Linked DNA regions of Sus scrofa. The protein of the gene in region 1 purifies or fractionates together with the protein of each later gene. This does not show direct contact. Links are inferred from orthologs where the notes say so. Each region holds a gene or a part of one and is shown in the gene's direction. Other genes may lie near its edges.

The links. The genes of interacting proteins can lie anywhere in the genome.
Region 2: the proteins of GATAD1 (region 1) and MORF4L2 purify together in Homo sapiens (affinity purification with mass spectrometry; 4 studies listed by BioGRID and IntAct, with this or other methods). This does not show direct contact. The link is inferred for Sus scrofa from reciprocal best matches to the Homo sapiens genes GATAD1 and MORF4L2.
Region 3: the proteins of GATAD1 (region 1) and KDM5A purify together in Homo sapiens (affinity purification with mass spectrometry; 6 studies listed by BioGRID and IntAct, with this or other methods). This does not show direct contact. The link is inferred for Sus scrofa from reciprocal best matches to the Homo sapiens genes GATAD1 and KDM5A.

The regions. Positions count from the first base shown.
Region 1 is NC_010451.4:72,366,831-72,370,330, forward strand, and holds the end of GATAD1 (GATA zinc finger domain-containing protein 1), read left to right. Parts: intron 1-1,011; coding exon 1,012-1,202; 3' UTR 1,203-3,234; downstream 3,235-3,500. UniProt on the Homo sapiens protein: Component of some chromatin complex recruited to chromatin sites methylated 'Lys-4' of histone H3 (H3K4me), with a preference for trimethylated form (H3K4me3).
Region 2 is NC_010461.5:84,563,505-84,567,483, reverse strand, and holds the start of MORF4L2 (mortality factor 4-like protein 2), read left to right. Parts: upstream 1-1,179; 5' UTR 1,180-1,319; intron 1,320-2,443; exon of another isoform or gene 2,444-2,724; intron 2,725-3,979. UniProt on the Homo sapiens protein: Component of the NuA4 histone acetyltransferase complex which is involved in transcriptional activation of select genes principally by acetylation of nucleosomal histone H4 and H2A.
Region 3 is NC_010447.5:67,713,344-67,717,610, reverse strand, and holds the start of KDM5A (lysine-specific demethylase 5A), read left to right. Parts: upstream 1-1,467; 5' UTR 1,468-1,913; coding exon 1,914-2,078; intron 2,079-4,267. UniProt on the Homo sapiens protein: Histone demethylase that specifically demethylates 'Lys-4' of histone H3, thereby playing a central role in histone code. Does not demethylate histone H3 'Lys-9', H3 'Lys-27', H3 'Lys-36', H3 'Lys-79' or H4 'Lys-20'.

The DNA.
Region 1 (3,500 bases):
TGTGAGCTGTAGGGTAGGTCGCAGACACGGCTAGGATCCTGAGTTGCTGTGGCTGTGGTGTAGGTTGGCAGCTATAGCTCTGGTTTGACCCGTAGCCTGGGAGCCTCCACCACGAGTGCAGCCTTAAAAAGCATAATAAAAAAAAAAAAAAAAGAAAAAGAAAAGGAAAGTACATAGAAGAGTGGACTTTCAATCAGGATTGTCAGCAGAGGCAGTGATGTGACAGGACCACCTCTGGGGCTTCTGTCTCACCTCTTGTTCCCCATCCTCAGGTTCCAGAGGAGACAGTGTAGCATAAAGTCTCAGAACACAAACTCTGGAACCAGGCTGTCATGGTTCATAGGTCAACCACTTACTGGCTCTGTGGTTGCAGGCAGGTTCCTTAGTCTCTCTCGCCTCATTTCCTCACATGCAAAATGGGAATAATCATAGTGCCTAAGTCAGAGGGTTGTTGTGAGGATTCAAAGTATTGATATATATAAAGCACTCAGAGAGTTCCCATGTGGCTCAGTGGAAACAAATCTGACTAGCATCCATGAGAACACAGGTTCGATCCCTGGCCTCGATCAGTGGATTAAGGATCCAGCATTGCAGTGAGCTGTGGTGTAGTTCACATGCAGGGTCAGATCCCACGTTGCTGTGGCTGTGGTGTAGGCTGGCAACAACAGCTCTGATTCGACCCCTAGCCTGGGAACCTCTATATGCCACGTGTGCAGCACTAAAAAGACAATAAAATAAAATAAAATAATAAAGTACAGTGTAGACATAATAAACATGCTATAAGACTAAATATTTGTAGAATCCTTCCTATATTGAGAGTGCTATATTCCTCAAGCAATTAAAACAGAAAAAAAAAAAAAAAAAAAAAAGGAAAGTAATTTCAGCATAATATATGTTTCAAGGGCTAAGGTCAAGTTATCACCAGACCAGTCTCTCCTAGTATCTAGGAATTTTAAAATTTTATGAAAGTGATATATATGTTAAAAAATGTGAACTTTGGCTGCTTTTTAGGACCAGAGGAGGATCTTCCAAGGAAAATGGAATACTTGGAATTTGTCTGTCACGCACCTTCTGAATACTTCAAGTCACGTTCCTCACCCTTCCCCACAGTTCCCACCAGACCAGAGAAGGGCTATATATGGACTCACGTTGGACCCACTCCTGCAATAACTATTAAGGAAACGGTTGCCAACCATTTGTAGTTTAAAAAGTAAACCCAGATTTCTGGTTGTCTTGTATCTATACTGTTACTGTGAGATATGCCACATGTTTCTTTAATGAAATTCTTGGATGAAAAAATAGCCACAAAGTTTTTTGCCTACTGCCCAGTAATCATTAGCTTGTTTATTGCTAGTCACTTAGAATACTAAGAGATTGAAAATAATTAAATATATTTTGAAGTGAAGAATTAAATCCTGTGTGTGTAGCCTCCGAGGCAAAGACTAACTTCCAGGAAGGCCACTTTAGGAAAAGGTTGTATCTATTTTTCTCCATAATTTATTTCTAGAAACTCATAAAATGGATTATATTTTTCTACAAGAATAAAATATTAATTAAGGTTTGGATTTCTAACCAAGGGTGGAATCGAATCAAATGTAGCTATGATCCACAGTCTCCATCACCAAGTTGAAAAAGCTTTATTTTATCATCTGGAAAATGTTATGACAGACTGTTGGCTTCTTTAACCTTAAGGAAAGTGATTGGTGGCTAATTTTATTAGCCCAGGCTTCTAGAAACTTTCATCTAATTCTTCTGTAGTAAACAAGTGTTCAGAATCATTTTGATGGATTTTGTGTGTGTGTGTGTATGTGTGTGTCTTTTTGCTATTTCTTGGGCCGCTCCCGTGGCATATGGAGGTTCCCAGGCTAGGGGTCCAATTGGAGCTGTAGCTCACTGGCCTGCGCCGCAGCCACAGCAACATGGGATCTGAGCCACGTCTGCAACCCACACCACAGCTCCTGGCAACGCCAGATCCCCAGCCCACTGAGCAAGGGCAGGGATTGAACCCTCAACCTCATGGTTCCTAGTCGGATTTGTTAACCACTGAGCCACGACAGGAATTCCTTGATGGATCTTAGTAGCGCTTCCCTTCACTAGCCTCACTTCTCAATCAGAGCAAAGCTTCCAGTCAAAACATGAAGTTGTAGGAGTTCCCATTCTGGTGCAGCACTAAGAAACCCAGCTAGTATCCATGAGGATGCAGGTTCGATCCCTGGCCTTGCTCAATGGGTTAAGAATCTAGCATTGCTGTGAGCTGTGGTGTAGGTTGCAAACCCAGCTCAGATCCTGCATTGCTGTGGCTGTGGTGTAGGCCGGCAGCTGCAGCTCCCAATTCAACCCCTAGCCTGGAAATTTACATATGCTGTGGGTGCAGCCCTAATAAGACATAAAAAAAAATATATATTAAGTTTTATAGTGCAGTCAACTTGCCTAAAAACACGCAGGAAACATACTATTTAGACATCCCAGAGCAGTAGTTTCTTGCCACCATTAGAGTAAACATTGGGCAGTTATAGCAATGATTAATTGACATAGATATCTAAAAACGTCCACCCCCAGGAATTCCCCCTATGGCACACTAGGTTCAGTATCCAGGGTTGTCTCTGGTGGCATGGGTTCGATCCCCAGCCCTGTGCAGTGGGTTAAGGATCTGGCGTTGCCACAGTTGTGACATAGGTTGCACCTGTGTCTCCATTTGATCCCTGGCCCAGGAACCTTCACATGCTGTGGGTGCAGCCAAAAAGAAAAAAAAAGGTCCACCCAAAGTTAAAACTATATGCTGCAGCCTCATAATACCAGGCGTAAAACAATGTCTTGGTCTTAGAAGGCCAGGCCCAGGTTTTCTATTCACTATTCAGCTTTTACTTCAAGTGTAGCTCAGCTAAGTAAGGGAGCAACAACTTAAAAGCGGGAGGTAGTGGTGACTGCTCACACCTGCCTCTTCTCTTGTCCTGATTTCACCGTGTTTTCTCAACCCCAGGAAAATGTGTCAGGATCTAATGGAATCATAATGATTTTGAGTTGTAGCAGTTTTAACTGTTACCATTTTTCTACACAGTTACAATTTGTATGTTGGAGGGAAGTTACTGTTTGTATTTGTGGACAGATAAGGTCTTTGTACATAATTGTCTCTGTCTTAACAGAAGTTATAGGTAAGTTGATTGTAAATACCATTGTAAATAACTAAATGCTAATATTCAAACTTTGGGATTAAAACATATATTTCACAATGTATTTACTTTGTATTTATTTGTTTCATTTCAACAATTACATAGAGCTTTCTACTCCAACACAGTGTTAGTAGAAGACACAAGTGATTCTGATGTGTGGCCAGAAGTGAGAAGCACTGCTCCGGCTAGTTCTCTTAGCATATAAAATTCAGCTGATAAAGACTTCAGTTTCTACCAAGAGAGGAAAAGATTGCTAGCATCCTGCTTTGGGGCAATTTGGGCAGCTAATCAAAAGCCTACTTCTACCAGTTATCCCTGGTAAAGGTAATT
Region 2 (3,979 bases), on another chromosome or scaffold:
TTAATCTGTGAAACGGGACAGAGAACATGCAGGGTGTCTCAATAGAACATGTACTTTTTTTTTTTTTTTTTTTTTTTTTTTTGGCTTTACATTCTGCAGCACCCTCTAGTGGAGTGTACAAAAATAAGCATTTTATTTCTGCTCTTCAAAGCAGTGCTTTTTAACTTCGGTGTGCGCTGGAATAACCAGAACAGTTTGTTATCTGTCGTAACACAGAAAGCCAAACCCTACTCCTAGAATTTCTGACTGGTTAGGTTGGAGGTGAGGCCTGAGACTATAAATTTCTGACAACTTCCCAAAAGGTGATAATGATGCTACCGGTGAGTCTGGGAAACACACTTTGAGAACCTCTGCTCTAAACCTCACCCATTCCCCGGGGGGGGGGGGGGGTGTATGTGTGCGTATTTATGAGCGCATACCTGCGTGCATGCACACATGTATAGGATCTATAACTGAAAGAGGTACAACTTTTGTTTGATTTTGATTAGTATCCATCTAATAAGGATTTTGTGAAGAAGAAAAGAATATCTGTGTGAAGAATATGGTAACACTACCTAAAACACAGAAGGCATGCAAAAAAAAACCTGAAAGCACAGCATATAAATCCCAGGGCCTCAGAACTAGTAAATGGTGGAGTAAGGTTTAAAATCAGGTCTTTGACTCCAAAAACATAATACGGTTTACCAGTACCACTACAGAAAACAGGGTAGAAACACATACCTAATCATAATTTCAAGAGGAAAAGAAAATCAGTTTTCAGTAATTGGGTCCAAGTCCAGTAAAGATGTATGTCTTTACTAACTAAACAAGCCATCTATATTTTCACTTGGGGTGGGGGTGGGTAAGGGTGAGGGAAGCACTTGAAGTGAAGATCCTAACCCCAGAGACGCTTCCAATCTTCATCAGCACCAGTACCTCAAGTCTTTCATCAGTTCTGACTGCCCACCCCTGGCAAAAAAAAAAAAAGGCAAGAAAGAAAGAAGAATGGGAGGGGTGATTTTTTTTAATAAGGAAATGAGGTAAAACATTTGTATCTAGGGCCATAGTCTCCTGATAGAGCAATTAACAGAAATTAAATTGATTTTTCCCCAGCAATGAAATATATATGAGTGATTTCTATAGATTGAAGAGTTCAGCAAATCAGAAAGGGGGGGGGAATCCCATAATTCCAGGGACCAAACAGCCAATCCTTTGATGGAATTTGGCGGCATCTAGTGGCAGATGCAAAAGGTATAAACCTCATCCAGAGAACTTTCTGGAAAATTAACTGAGCGCGTACTTGCCTGAAGAGCACACTGCTTGGAGATCAGGAGTGAAAGGTAAGAGAGCCTCAACTCCTACAGAAATTGGGAGTCCCTAGTGGAGGGGAAGTCTGTTGTATATAGATATTCTCTGCAGAAAATTGTTTGTGCCAAGAGAATTGTACAAAACTTGGGGAAGGGGGGAGGGGAGGGAGCGGGTAAGAGGTGGGGAGAAGGTTATTAGGGAACAGGAAAGAAACTGTTTCGTGGAATTGCTAATATAGGAACGGGAAGGTTCGGCTTTTAACCACTGGAGGGCTAGGGTTTAATACAGGATTTTGACACGGAAAAAAACGTGGGAAGAAAGTGTAATTTTAGGGTTTAAAATTAAATCGATGAGAGATCGAAATATCCCTAGCAAAGACCCTTTATCTTAGTTACGGTCGCCTTGCCTTAACTATTTAATGATTTTCCTTTTCATCAGAACAATATTCAAACCTACGAAAGTAGAAAACGATTCTTACAGAGCGCGCGCCCCCGCACACATCCGTGCGCGCGCGTGTACACACACTCACACACACACACACACACACACACGAAGGCGCACGCACCCGCTCGGCGACACACAACGGCCCCAACGCTAGGGGCGCACGCCTGCGCACACCCGCCTCCAACGCCACGAGGCCTGGCGTTCGCGCATAAGCCATCCCCAAGGCCACGCGGGCTCGCCTGCGCACAAACGCCGTGGCCCTGACACCACACGGCCGCAGCACGCCGCCACCCGCCACCAGCATACACACCGAAACCCCACTCTGCCTTTTTTTTTTTCTCCAAGAGTTGCGCAAGAGGTTGGGGGCGTGGCCCCAGATTTGACCTCGCGCTTCCCCACTCGCGGGAACTTTAGCTCATTTCCGCCCATCCTGTTTCCGCAGGCCACGTAGACACTTCCTTTCCCAGTGGAAAAAAAACCCATAATGCCTCCCTGCAGGAAAAAAAAAAAAAAAAAAGAAAGAAAGAAAAAAAAAAAAAGAAAAAACCTCTGGTCAGAGGAACTCTGGGTCGTGAAAATAGGCCACGTGAACACCCTGCCCTATAGACTTATGACCCAACTGCTGTCGCGCTTTTGGGGGGCGGGCTAAGAACCTAAGAGGGCGAACGTCATTGGCCACAGTCCGCACTAAAGGAGGAAGGTGATTGGTTTTCCTCAAGTCTTAACCGTGAAGAAGCAGGTTGCTAGCACCCGCCTTTACTGCGGCTAAGTGTCATTGCTGACGTGGTGGGCTTCCACCAATCATTTGGTTATGGAACATTCTAAAACTTAGGCAAGACGATTGTGATTGGCTAGAGGGCGTAAGCCCGCCTCCAGGGTGACGTGTCTGCCTATGGATATCAGTTGCCAGAGAAACCTGGCTTTACTATGGCGGTTGGAGGGTCGGCAGTGATCACACGTCGGCTGCTGGAAAGAACTGGATTCTCGTTTCAGGTTTCGGGGTGGGGGTGGGGAGAAAGGGTTGCCGATTTCCTCTTATCGTTGCGTATATAGACAAGATTAACTGATGGCTTCACAATCAGGCAGAGCTAGATTCAAATGCCTACTCGCCAACGCCCAGCTTGGGCTGGCTCCCGTTCTTTCTGTGTCTCGGTTTCCATGTTTGTAAAATGGTGATAATAATAGTATCTACCTCAGAGACGTGTGCCTCAGAGGCGTGTGCTGTATATTAGTGCGTATAACTAACGAATGCAAAGTAATATAATATAATACGCTTAATAACTTAATATGAAGCCTGACTCCGGAAGATATTAGCTGTTATTATGGAGAGAAAAAAACGCGTAATAGAGAAAGAAAACATAAATTATGTAAAGTCGTTCATTATAGTGTTTTTCCTGCCCATCATCTCCTCCCCTAGAAGAAATTCGAGATATAAAAGAGACGTATCAGTTTTTACCGATGGAATAGTTTATTTGGGAATTGCCTCAAAATAGCGGGGATTGGAATTTTCCATATTGAAAAGTTTAAAAAAAAAGCGGCGGGGGGGATGGGGGTGGGGAGAGATGGAGAATGAGCGAGCTGGAGATGAACCACATGCGATGAGTAGGCCTTGTTTGGATCCTGATTCGGACACATTAACTATATTTTTTTAAAAAACTGTTTAAGATGCATCGGGATATTTTGAAGTCGTATTCAAATTCGATTTTTTGGGGGAAATTGATGACGATGTTTTAGACGTTAAAATGGTATTGTGGTTATGGTTTCAAATTGTCTTTAGCTTGTAGCAATATATATGAAAATACGGATTAAATAGTAAAATGTCTGAGATTGGCTTCAAAATATGTTGATATCTATGATTTGCTTCAAAATAATCTCAGCGGTAGGGGGACGTGGGGAGGGGTATAGATGAAACCAAATTGGCCCTAAGTTAATCGTTTAAGCTGAGTGATGGGCATATATGATTTCTTAAATTATACTGGCTTTCTTGGTATATGTTTGAAATTTTCCATAATAAAATACAGAAAGTCAGCTATTCACTGAGCTTGAAAAAAACGGAGTGGGGGGGGAGCAGTGGGTGGGGTTATAGATAAAACAAGATGGCCTTCAGTTGGTAATTGTTGAAGCTGGAGGATAGATTCGCATAGGCTTATAATATTATTCCCTCTACATTTTTATCCATTTGCAATTATCCTTAATTAAAATTTTTTAAAGGCAAAAACAAACTAGTTTATCAGAAATCAGGGTAAAT
Region 3 (4,267 bases), on another chromosome or scaffold:
ATGGAAGTGACATGATGAATTCTGGACTTTTGACAAAGCAACCTGACAACTGAGTGGAGGGGGATTTGATAGGGGCAAGACCTGAGCTGTTATCAGAGTCCAGGTGAGAGAGAACTTAACTAGCATCCTGATGTATGTATACACACAGACACACACACAGACATATTTTTTGCTTTTTTAGGGCCACACCAGCGGCATATGGATCCCAGGCTAGGGACTGAATTGGAGCTACAGCTGCCAGCCTATGCCACAGCCACAGCCAGAGCAAGGCGGAATCCTTGCCCTCTGGGACCTATATACACCACAGCTCATGGCAATGCCAGATCCCGACCCACTGAGCGAGGCGGGGGATCAAACCCAGACGGATACTAGTTGGATCAGTTTCTGCTGGGCCACAACAGTAACTCCAGGATCCTGATAATTTGGATGTACAGGCATGAGTGGATTTATATTTATTATATATATGTGTGTGTGTGTATATGTATATATATATATATATATATATATATATAATGGATTTATTTTTAGATGACAGAATCTCCATACTTGACACTGGATTTTAAGTGGGGAGTGAAGGAGCAGGAATTAAGGATTACTTCTAGATTCTGGTTCAGGCAACTGAGTAGAAGGATGAAGACATGCATAGAAATCAGAAACACTGAAAAAACAGTGGGGACCTACAAGTTCAAGTTTTCTGAGTTCACCAAAGTGGAGCTGTCCATTACGTAGCTAGAAGTACTGGCTTGTAACTCAGGAGAGGAGTCCAGGCTGGAAATAAGAGATTTGGAAGTCATCACCATTTAGGTCCTGGGGGAGGCTTAGACTGAGCAGGGAGCATGAGAACAAGCCTCGGGAAGTAAGTCTTCCGATTGATGTTCAATACAAGAACTATCCTTTCACGGCGTCTTTAGTCTTTTCTGCGTCATTTTCCGGAATTTGGACTAAGTGGAGAGGGGCTCTGGCATAGAGGTTTTTTACAAGCAGGGCCGGAACAGCTGCCCTAGCTGTTAGAGCAAACTGAGAAAGTCTCAAGGTGCACTGCTACCAGAAGAGAGCGATTGCTGTTAAGACGATGTGGGGGTTATCAACGGTTGTAAAAGTAAGTTTCAAGAGCCGTTATTTCTTTGTGGTCGGAAATCAATTCTTAGACGGTAACGAAGGCCGGCCAGCCGGGAGATTGGGGGGATGGGCTGGACCCGAATTTGTTGCCATGGAGATGGGGCGGATTAAAGTGTCCGAGATTATTCGAAAGGGACACTAACAGTGAAAGGACCAAAAAAAAAAAAGAGAGAGAGAGAGACAGATGCTGGAGAAAGTAGTTATTTGGAATCATACACGGTAGGTGAAAGAGTCAGCACAGCAAAATCAGACGGCTCGCCCTGGGGACCACCTACACACAAAGGGGAACCGGGTTCCGCTCACCGGAAGCAGAACCTCTGCCCTTGGCGCATTACGCAGTCCCCGGCGCATTACGCAGCCCCCCGCGCCGGAAGAGCGCCCTGCTCGTTTGGTTGTTCCCCACCGCCCCAGTGGGAGGGGGCCACGGGGCCGCTAGACTGAGCCCTAGGAGACGTCGGCAGCGCGGACCTTCCGCGGTCGAAGAGCCAAGGAGCGACCTGTGTTGTCTGGAAAAAGAGAGAGAGGAAGGTCGCGCAACTGGGCACTGCTGCGGAGGGATCCTGTTTCTGGGTGGCGGAGGGATTTGGTCGTACGCTGACTTCCGGCGAGCCCCGACCTGAGAGGAAAAGCCCCGAAGGAAACAATAACAAACGTTGGAGGAAGCGGTTTAGGGTTTCTTGCGTTGAGCGGGTTTCGCCTGAGAAGATGAGCTTCGGCCCCTGTCAGCGGACGTGAGCGCCATCAGTGGGCCCACCCAAAGCTACTCTCTCTGCGCCGCGGGCCCCTGTGCGACCATGGCGGGCATTGGGCCGGGGGGCTACGCGGCGGAGTTTGTGCCGCCTCCGGAGTGCCCGGTCTTTGAACCCAGCTGGGAGGAGTTCACAGACCCGCTCAGCTTCATCGGCCGCATCCGGCCCCTGGCGGAGAAGACCGGCATCTGCAAAATCCGACCGCCCAAGGTACCGGAGTCTGATCGGGTTCGCTTGACTTCCCGGCCCTTCTGTCCTTTCACGTTCACTTGCCCTGGTTTCTCGACACCTGGACGCTGCGTTTTTGGATGTTTCTGCCTTGGTTTCTTTGGGGTCTCATGTAGGCACGTCCGGACGCGAGAGAGTGGTGCCCCTGGGGCCTTTCCGCCTAGAACTTGGGAACTGATACTTTCCTTCCTCTATTGGGTTGTGGGCAAGGGTAACAAAAGCTTTCGGTCTTTCGTTGGCCTGTAAGGTGTTTGAGTTACTGACACGACGTCTTTACACTCGCGTATAATTCTTATTAAGGTGTCACAGTAAAAACTGCTGTTCGATCGGTGGGCTGTTTCTTCAAGCCCTTTTGATGCTTGATTTATTAAGTATTTGGAGGCCTCATCTCAGGGCTGAGGTTTTTAAGATGGTAATGTAAACCTCTAGTTGTTCCCTTAGGATGGTTTCACCAAACAAGAACCCCAGAGTGATTACTGCTGCAATGAAAAGTCTTCTCGGGGGAGGAGCAGCAGCAGCATTTATTTTTAAAATCTAGAGGCTTAGAAAGGATTTGTCAAATGAGGTGGAAGAAAATGTCGAATCTTTTGCTGTAAGGAACCATGAATCAAAGATTTGCGAATCGCGATGATAGCAAATAACTGGGTTTGCCAGTGGATTAGTTATAATATCAATCTTTACGATGAAATTTAGTGCCCCAAGAGGTTGAATACTTGCTCAAGGTCAAAAGGTTTTTTTCTCTATTCGTCAGACCAGTGCTTTCCAAATGACATTCCTGGTTCACCTGCACCGGAGGCAGCCGGATGCTTGTTAAAATGCATATCTCTAGGCCTCATTCCCAGTCTAGAATCAGTTTCTGGATATGAAAGTTCTAGAAGCTGCTTTTCCAATAAGTACTCTCATGATGCTTAATGAACATTAAAGTGTGTGAACCCTACCCTTAGTGCTTCTTAAAGGAGTACCTTGCTTTATGTCCTGTCTACTAGCAATAAAAATAACATATTGTCCTTTTATCCATTGTATTTTAAAAAGCATCTGCTCTGGCCACAGGCTATCCCAGAGGTGTGTGCAGCACTGTGAGTAAAAAGAGCTTAGACCGTGGGGGGGGGGGGCTTGGGGAGAGGGGGAGCTAATTCAGCGTTTACAGATTATTTCATTTAATATTGTTTGAAGCTCCAGAAGGGAAACAAGGTCTCATTTTACAGATGAGGCAAATCTGCATAAGTTAAATAACTTAGATATGTGATCTTGGGCAGTGGCAAAGTAAGTTTTGAATCTAGATCAGTCTGTTTGTTTTTAAAACCCAGACAAGCTTCTCCCCTAGTTCTCAATGAATTTAAGATTATAGACTATCAGTTGGCAGAGAAGGTTGAACAAATAATTACTGTGATGAATGAGGATATATGTATTGTCATCCTCCAAAAGTTTAACTCTTTAAAATTTTTAATTGTCACTTAATACTTTTTCTGTAAAGATTACCTAATATTGACAAAACCTTAAGTACTGAAGTTTTTCCTAACCCATGTATTCATCTAGTGTATCGCCTTAATGAATAGAGACTGTTCATTTTTTTAAAATATAGCTGTATTACTTAAAAAAGACTGAAATAATATACCTTCTCTGTGTCATGTAATTGTTATTTAAAATAAATGTTTACAAACATTTCAGTATTTCAATATTAGGGGATTTCTTTAGTTTCCAAGGTAAGATAAAAAATTTTTTGACTACTTTTCACATTTTTAAATGCATTTACTATTATTTAGGCCAAATCAAACTATGTTGTCTGGAACTCTACTTGAAATGTGTTTTCTCATTTCATTTATAGCACATTTTTAATCTGGAAATTATCCTTGTTCTGTGGGTTTGCCTTTTTTTTTTTTTTTTTGAATATCTGGGTGCCCAGAAGCTGGGCTTTGGACAAAACATTTATATAACAGTCTTATAAAGTGCTGTGTCACATTGAACATGAATAAAAAACATTATCCAATTACATAAGTACTTTTTGAAAGTTAGTTTTGGGGCTTTAATTTTACCTGTTTTTGTTTCTTTCAAATTTTGTTTTCCTTGTAATTTGATAAACTTGGATGTTTATTAGACACAGTATTGAGACACCTGAAGTTGTTGCATCCCACTTGAGTAACTAGGGAAGGTGTAACTGGGATGTAAATAAT